3 linked regions of the Tribolium castaneum genome follow. The protein of the gene in region 1 purifies or fractionates together with the protein of each later gene. This does not show direct contact. Links are inferred from orthologs where the notes say so. Each region holds a gene or a part of one and is shown in the gene's direction. Other genes may lie near its edges.

Region 1 (3,755 bases):
TGGAGCGTCATCGTCTCACTGACATTGAATTAATTTTTGTAATTTCCTGCCGTCTTTCATACCCACTCAGCTTCAGAAAAACATCGTCGCACTAACACTGCAATTACAGTACAAGCGACAACAACCTTCCAATTAACTAAACACACCGTGGAAGAAAATGCAATGTATTATAACCACTTGTTTGTTTACAACACTCTCCCGCACAAGAGAATGAAGCCGAACAATAAATAATCTGCTACAACCTTGACTCGCAATTAACAATCACAATAAACCAATTACTACATTTTGGTGTAATTTAGCCTTTGTTTAAATAATGATAACAAAAGAGCCAGAATTTATTTATGAGTCAACAGTCTTCAAAAACCGCAACTAGCACGTCCCACTTGTGCAAGCAGATTTCTAAAAGTAGATTGGGTTTTCACTTTTCAACTAACAATAGGCGGTTAAAAGTTTATTGTCCGGTTCAAATGGAATTAAATGTCACTTAATAATTCGGGTGACGACGTCGCGGCGCCTAGGAAAGCCTTCGACTAGACCGGCCGTCTGCGCAAACTAAAAATAGGGAAATGATCCGATTTTCACTATTTTTATCTAGTTTTCACGGTTTTGGGTTACATAATGTCATCAAAAGAAAATTATTTATGGTTGACTATGTTTAGAGAGCGGAGCGCAAATCGGTCATTTTTATTTTCAGAAAAAAATTATAGTGTTTATACAGAGATTTTTATTGGAAACACATCCACACTTTTCGAAAAGTTGCAACAAACGTGCTGAACATTTTCAAAAAAAACTTTAATAAGCAGCTAAAAAGCTATCCTAATGAGCTCAAAAAAATAAATAAAAATAATAAAAATAATAATAATAATAATAATAATAATAATAATAATAATAATAATAATAATAATAATTTTGGAGAAAGAAGAATTGCTGATGTTAAAAAACGCTCTTAGCAGGTTTGAAAAGAAGTAATACATTAATGTAGAAGATTGTAGAAGATTTATAATGCCGGGCGGAGTCTTAAACTGCCTATTTTGAAAATGCCAAGTTGAAAAAAATCTTGGAAAAAGTCTCATTTAATAAGTTAAGACACACATGAATGCAAAAGTGCAAAAGTTATTACATAATATGTTGATTAATGAAGTTGATATGAAATTTTGATAACGGTACATTGTATTGAAAATAAAAAAAACATTTTATAAGTGAATATTTTTGATTAATTAATACTACTGTATGGATAGAAAAAAATACAGGGTGAGCGCGAGGGTGAGTTATTTTTGATTTTTTCTTGGATGCAACCCCGTTTGCGTGTGTGATAAGTTGTGCACGCCGTTCTGAGGTTTAACTGTAGTTAAAAAATCCCACTTGTAATTTTCAAACTTAGCGGTTAAAGCTGTCATTTAATGCCGTCACTTTCCGCTAGATGAGCCCAACATCAACTCTTTTTTCGCGTAGATGAAGTAGCGTAAGCGTGGCTAATCAAGGTACAAAGAGGTAAAATTCTCAAATATTTCTTTCCCCGATCACAATTTAGCCCTAATCTCGTCATTTGCCAACCCTCCACATCCCTTCTAAGCCCAAAAATGGGAAATTAACGTCGTAGTTGTGTCACAAATGTCATTAAACGTAATCTAAACATAGGGTTGGACAGCCACAACCGTCTCAAAATTCCAATTTTCTAAATAAATCGGAAATGTTTTAGGAAAATGAGCAGCTCAGAGGAGGTTTCGTGGATTTCATGGTTTTGCGGACTTAGAGGAAATGAATTCTTTTGCGAAGTAAATGAATTTGCCTGTTTTAAAGACGAGATTTTTGAGTGTATTTGCAGGTGGATGAGGATTATATACAGGACAAATTTAACTTGACGGGCTTGAATGAGCAAGTTCCGCACTACAGGCAAGCTCTTGATATGATACTAGACTTAGAACCGGGTATTTTGAACCCATCCCTGGTTTCACATTTTTTTAACTCGGCTTTTTAGATGATGAACTTGACGATAATCCGAACCAATCCGACCTGATTGAGCAAGCGGCCGAGATGCTTTATGGGTTAATACACGCTAGGTACATTTTAACAAATCGGGGGATCGCCCAAATGATTGAAAAATACCAGTCTGGGGATTTTGGGTATTGTCCACGAGTTTACTGCGAATCGCAGGCAATGCTGCCTTTGGGTAACCCCAACACTTTTGGTATTTTTTTGGGTAATGGTTTGTGCTTTAGGGCTGTCTGATGTACCTGGGGAGGCAATGGTCAAGTCATATTGCCCCAAATGTATGGATGTGTACACACCAAAGTCTTCAAGGCACCACCATACAGATGGGGCCTATTTTGGGACAGGTTTCCCTCACATGCTCTTCATGGTGCACCCAGAATACAGGCCAAAGCGTCCAACAAATCAATTTGTTCCTAGGTATAGCCGAACTGGCGTGAGTCTAATTGAAAGTCTGGTCAAGAGTGCTTGGCGAATTTAATATTGTCAGTTATCAAGTGACAACTGAGAAGTCAAAACCTACTTCATTTCGGAATTTTTGGGATGTTACGTATAATAATCCTCAATAACTTTACACGAAACGAAAAATTAGTCATTTTTTTATTTCGTTGTTTTTAAAGCATTGTCTTGACCCCGCTTTTATTTAGACTCACTTGATTTTTTTAGAATTGTTCTTCAACAAATGATTTCAGGTTATTTGGTTTTAAAATTCATCCCCTTGCTTACCAGTTGCAACAGCAAGCAGCCTCGACTTTTAAGGCGCCTCTGAGAAGTTTGAACTTTAATAATGGTAAACGTTAATTTAAAAGGTGTATACATTTGATTTAATTTATTTCTACCCCAAATTTGTGTATTCTTGTATGTATGAAATTAAATCTTGATTATTTTCTTTCATACTTTTGTATGGCGTTAACTTTGCATAAGGTTAAAAATGTGCAAAAATTCCATCATTTTTATAAATAGGGTTCAATGTATAATAAATTTCCCAGTTTTGTTTTTATAAATGTAAGGATAGTTTAATTTAGAAGCGTCACCGGTTTCGTGTAAAATTAACTAGCATTCAAGTTTGTAAATAACTGATTAAAAAATTCAGATGAGTTGGTGTGTCATGCCTGAGCTTAATTAGTAAATAGAGTGGTCAAAAGTCTGAATTTTTCAATCACACAGCGTAATCTAAGATGTATAAATAACACATTTTAAATAAAACATAGGAAGCAAACCTAGGTTCTGTATTTTTACTTAAGGTAATCACAACCAAGACTAAGTTATGAATTCGCATGTTATCAAATAAAATTTTCTGTTTTTCGTAAGAATCTTTATTTGACCCATTACATAAATAAAACACAGATCAAAATAAACTTATATTTACGCCTTAAACAAAAATTTATCTACAAACACACGCGCGCCTACTGGAACGAGTAGCCCCCGTTCTGTTGCCCCCTCAGCTGGGAGGGGTCCTCCATGGGGGGCATCTGCGGCTGGAACTGCTCCGCTGACAACCTAGTGAACAAAATCCCGACTCCTTCAATTAAAGCTAACAAAACGCCCCCAATGAAGGCGCTCCCGGCCATGGCCGGGAGCCCGTTTCTCGCCGCGAGGATGCCCCCAGTCGCGGCCCCACTTATAATGGAGTTCCAGGGGTCCTCCTTTTTCCTAATGTGGATTAGGGCGCAGTCAATTGTGGAGAACATGCCGCCCCAAACGGCAAAGTTGCCGGCGATTATAGGGGACCGTTGCTTGATAGCAGCCAAACTGCCAACCTAAAA
Region 2 (3,253 bases), on another chromosome or scaffold:
CTCCTTTTATCTTTAGTTAGCATTCCGATAACTGGCTCAATCGAGGCATTGATCATGTTTTGAGCCTCTTTAAAGCGAGACATTGCTTCTTCAATTTCCTTCTGAGCGGCTTCGTTACTTTTGGCTTGGGGCTTCATGATTGGTTGAGTGGCGTGAATGATTTCCAGCGGCTTGCCTTTGAACTCTTCACCGTTCATTTTCATGGCGTTCACGACGCTTGGCTGTTCCGTGAATTCGATCAAAATGTGCGTGGTGTTGTCGTTGGGGCACTCACACACTCTCAAATACTTCACTTCACCGGCTTGTGAAAAATACTGGATTATCTCATCTGTGGGTATGGCGGGGTCAATATTGACCACTTGGACCGTTCGACGAGTCTCCTCGACTTTGATCGAGTCGTATTTGGCCGGCAAAGGGGGATAGGGGGCGCAGCCATTGTCAGTCAAATGGGGGTCATTTGTGACAACAACGCGTTCCTCGCCTGTGCCTTGGAACGAATTGGAGACATGTGGGGGCAACTTTGGCTCGTTTACGTTAAACCCGGGGACAATGGTCCCGTTACGGGTCATCTCCAGAGCGTAGTACTCGTCGGGGATGTCCCCGTTGATCACAGGGATGACAATTAGGGCCCGGTCGATGAAAACAGTGTTTGTCATGTGTTGGGCTACACCTACCGTGCTGGAATCCACGAATTTAACGTAACAAATCCGGGACTGGACAGGACAGGAGACGTCTCGAATCGTGGGGTACAGGCGAATGTCTTCGATTTTACCCAAGTAGCCGAACAGCGTCTGCATCTGGTCCTTGGTGGCCTGGGGGGCTATGTTGGTCACCTGGACCACCTTAGTGTTACCCACGACCATTTTCACGCACTATTTTAACATTTTCCAACGAGTTTAAAAAACGTAAAACGACGCACATTGACAAGTCAAATGACAGCAAGTGTCGCCAACTATTGTTCAATGATGAAAAACGCGGTGAAAAAGCAATTTATGGCCAATCGTCCTAATTAAAACTTTTTATGACTGTCCCAAAAGGATAATTTCAAATTATTTAAAATCTTTGGCGTTAAATAGCCTGTAAAACTTGCACTTTGGTTGTAATTTGGTGCCTTAATTGTGTGCCGGTTGGCAGGCGTAGTTGGTTTCTGTCAAGGGTGAGATGGGTGTTCGAGGGCTATTTTCGCTCGTGAATTGTTCAACTTCGCCTGATTTCGCTGACTTTTCATCTTGCAAGAGACATAAAAAGCCGAAACGTATTGTTTGATACATCTACAAATCGGTGTACTTGTGGAAGCTTCGAGAAAAGATAGTGTTTGGTTTGGTGACACTTTGACAGTGTCATCTGGCGGTTTCTGGTGCAGTTGCACGTTATTCAGCACACGTGAATTTCGAGGTTGAGGTCGTTTTGTGCTAATTTCGGCCGTATTTTCGCCAATATGGAATCGTGGGGTAAAAATTTAGTCAATTCTTTCACTACTTGAGCGAAAATTTGACATGGGGCTGTTTCAGACGACGATAACTTCGAACCTCCATCTGTTACACCTGTGGTTGCGTCCAACAAATGGGAAGGCGAGGACGAAGACGACAACGTCAAGGTAAAATGAGTGAATTCCTGCCAAAAATTTACCATTTTCCTGCAGGAAAGCTGGGAGGATGAGGAGGAGGAGAAGGTGGAAGCGGCGCCTGCCGAGGAGGCCAAACCCAAGCCCAAGAAGCAGTCAATCGCTGACAAAATCGCAGAGAAAGAAGTGGGTATCGCAATAGTTGTGACAAATCTAATTTCTCCTTATTCAGAGAAAGAGGAAGGAAGAAATGGAGCGGAGGCTGAGGGAGCAACAGGAGGAGGAAATCTCCCCGGAGGAGAAGCTCAGGATGCAGAAGGAATCGGACTTGAAAATAGCGCTAGAAACGACGTTTGGGGGCGACACCAATAGCACAAACATTTCAGGTTTAGACGGACTCACGCTGCCAACTACTAAAGAAGAGTTTCAGGACTTTACAGACGCTCTCTCTAAGAAGCTCCAACCTCTAGCTAAAAGCACAGAGTATCCGGTGTTCACCGAAAACTTACTACGAAATCTGTGTGCCACTTGTACGTCTCTCGTTTTAATTTAAAACAGCGTTAATGATGAATGTTCTTGCAGTGTCCTCATTAGATATTAAGAAAATTAAAAATACGTTAGATAATTTATACCTAGAGAAACAAAAAATCGAGAAAGGCGAGAAATCGAAGAAAAACAAAGGCAAAGGCAAGGCTAAATTACGACTGGATGATGGAAATGTAAGTTGTGGTTTTACAAGTGTTTGGGTTAATTTTTTTTGCAGCCTTTGTCAGCGTATGTTAACGACTATGACGATTACGACGACTTTATGTAGCAGATTGCAGCGGTTTAGATAGGGTTTTAATTTTTAAATAAATATCTTCGATAAATATAAATATTGTTAAATTATACGGTATTTTTAAAAAGGTGTAGTGTAATGATCATGCAATATGGTTAATAATTTTTACTTTTTTTTCACCGTTTTGTGTTTTTCTATACTAATGTAACGAGTCATTATTAATTAATGAGTTGCTGGTTTTTGTTGCTACTGATATAGAAGTTGTATTTTAAGGCGATTATTGTATGGATTTGCATACAAGTTGTATTCAATGGATTTGATGCAATTATTGTTAATATCAATATAATTTTTCAAAAAAATGATTGCGTTTTATTTAAAAAAGAATCAAGTGTCTTAGACACAGAGTTGCCACACGCACGCAATTTAAATCCCGTCTACGCCGTTCTGACGTGTAATTATTACACATTTATGCTGAAATTTATTATAGAACAAGTGGACCCCGCTTCTATAAACTTTTTGAGACCATAATCTATTTTAATGTTGAATATTTAAGTACCGTTGTTGGTATTCCTGTCCGAGTTTCATCACAATATTTGTTGTAAAAATGGCAAAATTGGTGCTTACCTCCACGATGACACTATGTAAACACTGATTCATTAGACTTTTCCCGATTTTAAACACTTTTTAAAACTAAACACAAACACCATGTTAACTTTTTTGTCATAAAAAGCAAGCGTCTTTAGACTCAGGGCTGCCACCATGCCACACACACTTGATTAGAATCCCGCCTTTGTAATTACTCGAAATTCCACTAAAATTAATTACACAACAAACAAAAACTGTCTTGGGACACATTTAACATGACTTTAGTCATTTAATACGGATTTAAAATATTTAGTGACAATCTTTTG
Region 3 (3,755 bases), on another chromosome or scaffold:
TCATGGTAACATCTGTTCTGAAAAGTGAGACGAAGTGAGCAATAAACATCTTTTTTACTGCAGACTAATCATTTTCTGGCCCCATTGCATTGTTGTCATGAAATATTACTTTAGTATATCTCCACAATTTCGCTTGGAAGAAAATAATGTTTGTCAGTTTAGGACGAAGCATAAAGGGTATTGGATGCGGAATCTTAGGCGAAAACATAATATTGAAAAAGGCTAACAGGACTTACTATTTTTACAATAATAATTCTCTCTATACCTACTGTTAAAAAACATGAGAAAGTGTTTATCGATGATTTTTTGTAATAATACATATTTTGTGACTCTACATTACATAAAAATTGATTATATTATTTTATAACCATTACGACCTGTAAACAGCTGTGGATGTATGGTGTGCAAGTTTAAGGATTTACAGGGATTTCGGGGATGTACTGGGAGTTTACCTTTATCTATAAATTTACACCACTGCGCAAGCCCAAAAGTTAAGACGCATGTCACCTGATTTCTAATGCTCTTGTGTAAATAAAACAAACTGAAGATTTATATTTCGTTTTTGAGTTAGGAGTGGTTTTATTTTAAAAACCTAAACCTAAAACGTTTAATTCTTAAACCAATTTAATTTAACAAAGGAGCATATCGATTAAGGGTAGTTTTTGACGAGTAGGTACTTGGAGTTTGTTTTGAAATTTCCCTTCACAGTAACCCACTAGTTTTTTGTTTAAATTAAATTGACTCTAAATCAGATATGTAGTACTACTATTAGAGTTCAAAATTGCAAAAATAAAACATCCCCCAATATATAAACGAATCGATAATCTTTTTTCACGGTTTGATAAGGTTTTTTGCAAGTTTTCAAAACTGTTACAAAACGTAGGGGATTTCATTTAAAATTTTGAAATAAGGGTAGCTAACAGCAGAGGTATAAAAGCTAAGGCGTTTGCACAAGGTACAGGAAGTATGGTGTTTAAGTTTAGATCTGCTGTTTATCCCTCGGATCATTATAAATTATAACACAGAATTCTTAAATTTTCTTTTAATTTTAATTCTAAGGCATATGCAATTTATAACTAAATAAATATTATTAAAATCAAGTATATGCAGTAACAACTGGGGACTTTTTCAAAGGTTGTGTCACGTGATACCTACGTCAGACACGATGTGAAGCCGTGACGTAAAGTTTCAAGAAAAAACCATGTGACCCACTTTTCCTTCCTCTCCCCTACACCAAACGCTGAACTCCAGTCAAGTTACATTAACATCAGCGCCCCCAACGGCAAATATTATAAATACAGTGGAAGTGTTGTGAATGTGATGCATTCTCTACTATCGATAATGCTGATTTTTCATCAATAATGAGCTTTTCCAATGAAAATTAAGCTAGACGGTGAGTAAAACCCCTTGCTACGACGATGTTTTCCAAGTCAGTCGCTCCAAACATGTGTAGAGCTAACAGAAAGGGTTTTATTCTAGGTTATGTAAATAAGAGCGAAGAAGTGTAGCGAGTTGCCGAAAGCCGGCTTTAGTGCTGAAAAGTGGCCGAATTTTCCTCCGAGCCCGCAATGAACCGCTTTCCACGGCTGTAAAACGCGCATTTCCCTTCCATTGTGCATCGAGTTCAAGTCGTTTGTAACCAAACAATACCAACTGTGCATTTGCTAGATCACTATAACCCACGACAATGTCCGAAAGCGAGCAGCTCGACCTTGCGCCGCCCCCGCCGCCGCCGCCGGAAGCCGAACCGCCCGCTCCACCTCCCGAGGAGCCCCAGAACGGCGACGACAAGCCCCCAACGCCGCCCGAGGAGCCCCCACCGCCAAGTGAGTCCCCTGACGACACCAGCACCCCCAAAACCAGCCGCGAGCTCAAATCCATTCTCGCTTTGTCTAAAGAGGCGAAGCTAGACACCAATCTGTCAACAAACAGACGCAAAACGCTAGACAAAGTCAAGGGCACGCCGAAAAAATCACCCAAAATGACGAGTTTTCCTGTTACAGCCGAGAGCGAGCTGGAAAATTACGACGTGAAAATCGACGAGAAAAAAGCGAAGAAACGAAAATCGAGCTTCGGAGGCGAAAGCGGGGCAGAGGGCGCCACCGCCGATGAGGCAAGGAGGGGGCTGCAGTTTTATAACAACGATTTTATCATGGCAAGGAAGGTAAGGCGGCTCAGAAATACACAAATTGTGTTCAAACTAGTGCTCATTTGAGCTATAAACAAGAAAAGTGGACGCAAGTGTTTGTAAAAAACGCCAACTTGTCACGATCGTGCGAGTGATAGTTGGCTGTGATTTGTTTTTCACACGTTGCACAAACTGTTCAAATGTCAACAAAAAAATATATTTTTACAATTAAATGGTGCTTGAAGCCTTTCTTGCCGTTTCCAGCAAAAGGCCCTGATCTAAAACAGGTTTCATTAACGTTGTATTACACAAAAAGTGTTATTACAGTTGTTGTCTCGAGTACAAGGTTGTAAATATACACCAAGCGCATGTTGGCATATTTTAGTTGTGTAAAATTAACAACTGTTTTTTAGATACTGCGCTAATATTTTACGTCACGTATTATGATAAGTAAAATTACAACTTTTTGTAAAATAGTTCATTCAACAAAAACGTAGATCTTCACTAATTTTAGATTATTTTGTGGTATGTAAGAACTTTGCCAATCACGTAACAAGTGACATCTACATTATTTTTATACAGAGTGTCTATAAAAAACATAGATGGATACTCTCTGTTTCAAAACTACGGAAGTGCCGCCGTTGCATTTTACCGAATTATTTGTTTTAATAAGTATATAAATTGCATTATGGTCCGGTTCAAACATTTAGCAACAGCTGTCAATTTTTAAAACTAATTTTCGCTTTGAATTCTCTTGGCTCTATCGCTGGGATTCTATTTAACACTGAATTATTTCACAGAAACTCTCAATTTGTGCTCTATTCTACTAAAAAAAATGCAAAGGCGCTGTTGCCATTTTCTACTAAGAACTGAAATGAGACAGCTATTAATTTTTTGAAGTGCAAATGAATAATTTATAAGAAGAGAAAATGTGACGTTGGTATTTCCATAGTTTTGAAACGGAGAACAAGTGATATGAAAATTTTAGAAATATGGTTTTGATGTATTTAATGAAATGACTGCACACTTAAAATTAACCAATTTAACACAAAATAACACGGAAACACAGAAAGTTTTAATTTGACTATAACTTTAAAATAGCAAGTAGACTAGAATCATATTCATCCCGTCACCTAATAGAACAAATGATAGTTGTACCTGAACAAAAGCACTTTACGACTATTAATGAAGCTCTCAGGTTTTTGAAAATTCTACCTTCAAGGGGGTTAAACAGGGGCTAAATTTTATATAAAAAATCTTTTTTTTTTTAATTTGAACTATGGAAAATTAGTATTTGGGCTTTTGCTTAAAAATGAAAAACTTGTTTTAGGTTTTTTGGAAATTCCACTTGTAGAGGGTTCAATATGAAAATTCGACATTTTTGAAGATATACAAGGTGTTTACGAAGTTGAGATGTTTCTTTTAACACGAGGCTCTATGCATTATTCTTCATAGTTTTAGCCTAAATCGTCTTAATAAAATGTTTTTATTAACGGAGATAATGTTAAGTTTTTCTAAAATTTTGACTCCGGTCTTGTCTAAAAATTTCGGGCACTTTTAACATTTCATTGTCAAGAAGGATAGGGAATTACACACGTTTATGTCAGCGAAACGTCAAATGTGTCCG

Evidence for each region.
Region 2: the proteins of CkIIbeta (region 1) and eIF3j purify together in Homo sapiens (co-immunoprecipitation; 3 studies listed by BioGRID and IntAct, with this or other methods). This does not show direct contact. The link is inferred for Tribolium castaneum from reciprocal best matches to the Homo sapiens genes CSNK2B and EIF3J.
Region 3: the proteins of CkIIbeta (region 1) and Zmynd8 purify together in Homo sapiens (affinity purification with mass spectrometry; 3 studies listed by BioGRID and IntAct, with this or other methods). This does not show direct contact. The link is inferred for Tribolium castaneum from reciprocal best matches to the Homo sapiens genes CSNK2B and ZMYND8.

What each region holds. Positions count from the first base shown.
Region 1 is NC_087397.1:979,806-983,560, forward strand, and holds CkIIbeta (casein kinase II subunit beta), read left to right. Parts: upstream 1-1,347; 5' UTR 1,348-1,491; intron 1,492-1,699; 5' UTR 1,700-1,703; coding exon 1,704-1,775; intron 1,776-1,825; coding exon 1,826-1,928; intron 1,929-1,978; coding exon 1,979-2,170; intron 2,171-2,219; coding exon 2,220-2,409; intron 2,410-2,681; coding exon 2,682-2,790; 3' UTR 2,791-3,294; downstream 3,295-3,755. Other genes in the region: mitochondrial import inner membrane translocase subunit Tim17-B, read right to left, coding at 3,396-3,749. UniProt on the Homo sapiens protein: Regulatory subunit of casein kinase II/CK2.
Region 2 is NC_087396.1:21,286,969-21,290,221, reverse strand, and holds eIF3j (eukaryotic translation initiation factor 3 subunit J), read left to right. Parts: upstream 1-1,123; 5' UTR 1,124-1,438; coding exon 1,439-1,451; intron 1,452-1,511; coding exon 1,512-1,597; intron 1,598-1,642; coding exon 1,643-1,750; intron 1,751-1,796; coding exon 1,797-2,094; intron 2,095-2,146; coding exon 2,147-2,283; intron 2,284-2,327; coding exon 2,328-2,378; 3' UTR 2,379-2,622; downstream 2,623-3,253. Other genes in the region: Srp54 (probable splicing factor, arginine/serine-rich 7), read right to left, coding at 1-863. UniProt on the Homo sapiens protein: Component of the eukaryotic translation initiation factor 3 (eIF-3) complex, which is required for several steps in the initiation of protein synthesis.
Region 3 is NC_087398.1:14,045,650-14,049,404, forward strand, and holds the start of Zmynd8 (MYND-type zinc finger-containing chromatin reader ZMYND8), read left to right. Parts: upstream 1-1,177; 5' UTR 1,178-1,393; intron 1,394-1,466; exon of another isoform or gene 1,467-1,479; 5' UTR 1,480-1,687; coding exon 1,688-2,164; intron 2,165-3,755. UniProt on the Homo sapiens protein: Chromatin reader that recognizes dual histone modifications such as histone H3.1 dimethylated at 'Lys-36' and histone H4 acetylated at 'Lys-16' (H3.1K36me2-H4K16ac) and histone H3 methylated at 'Lys-4' and histone H4 acetylated at 'Lys-14' (H3K4me1-H3K14ac).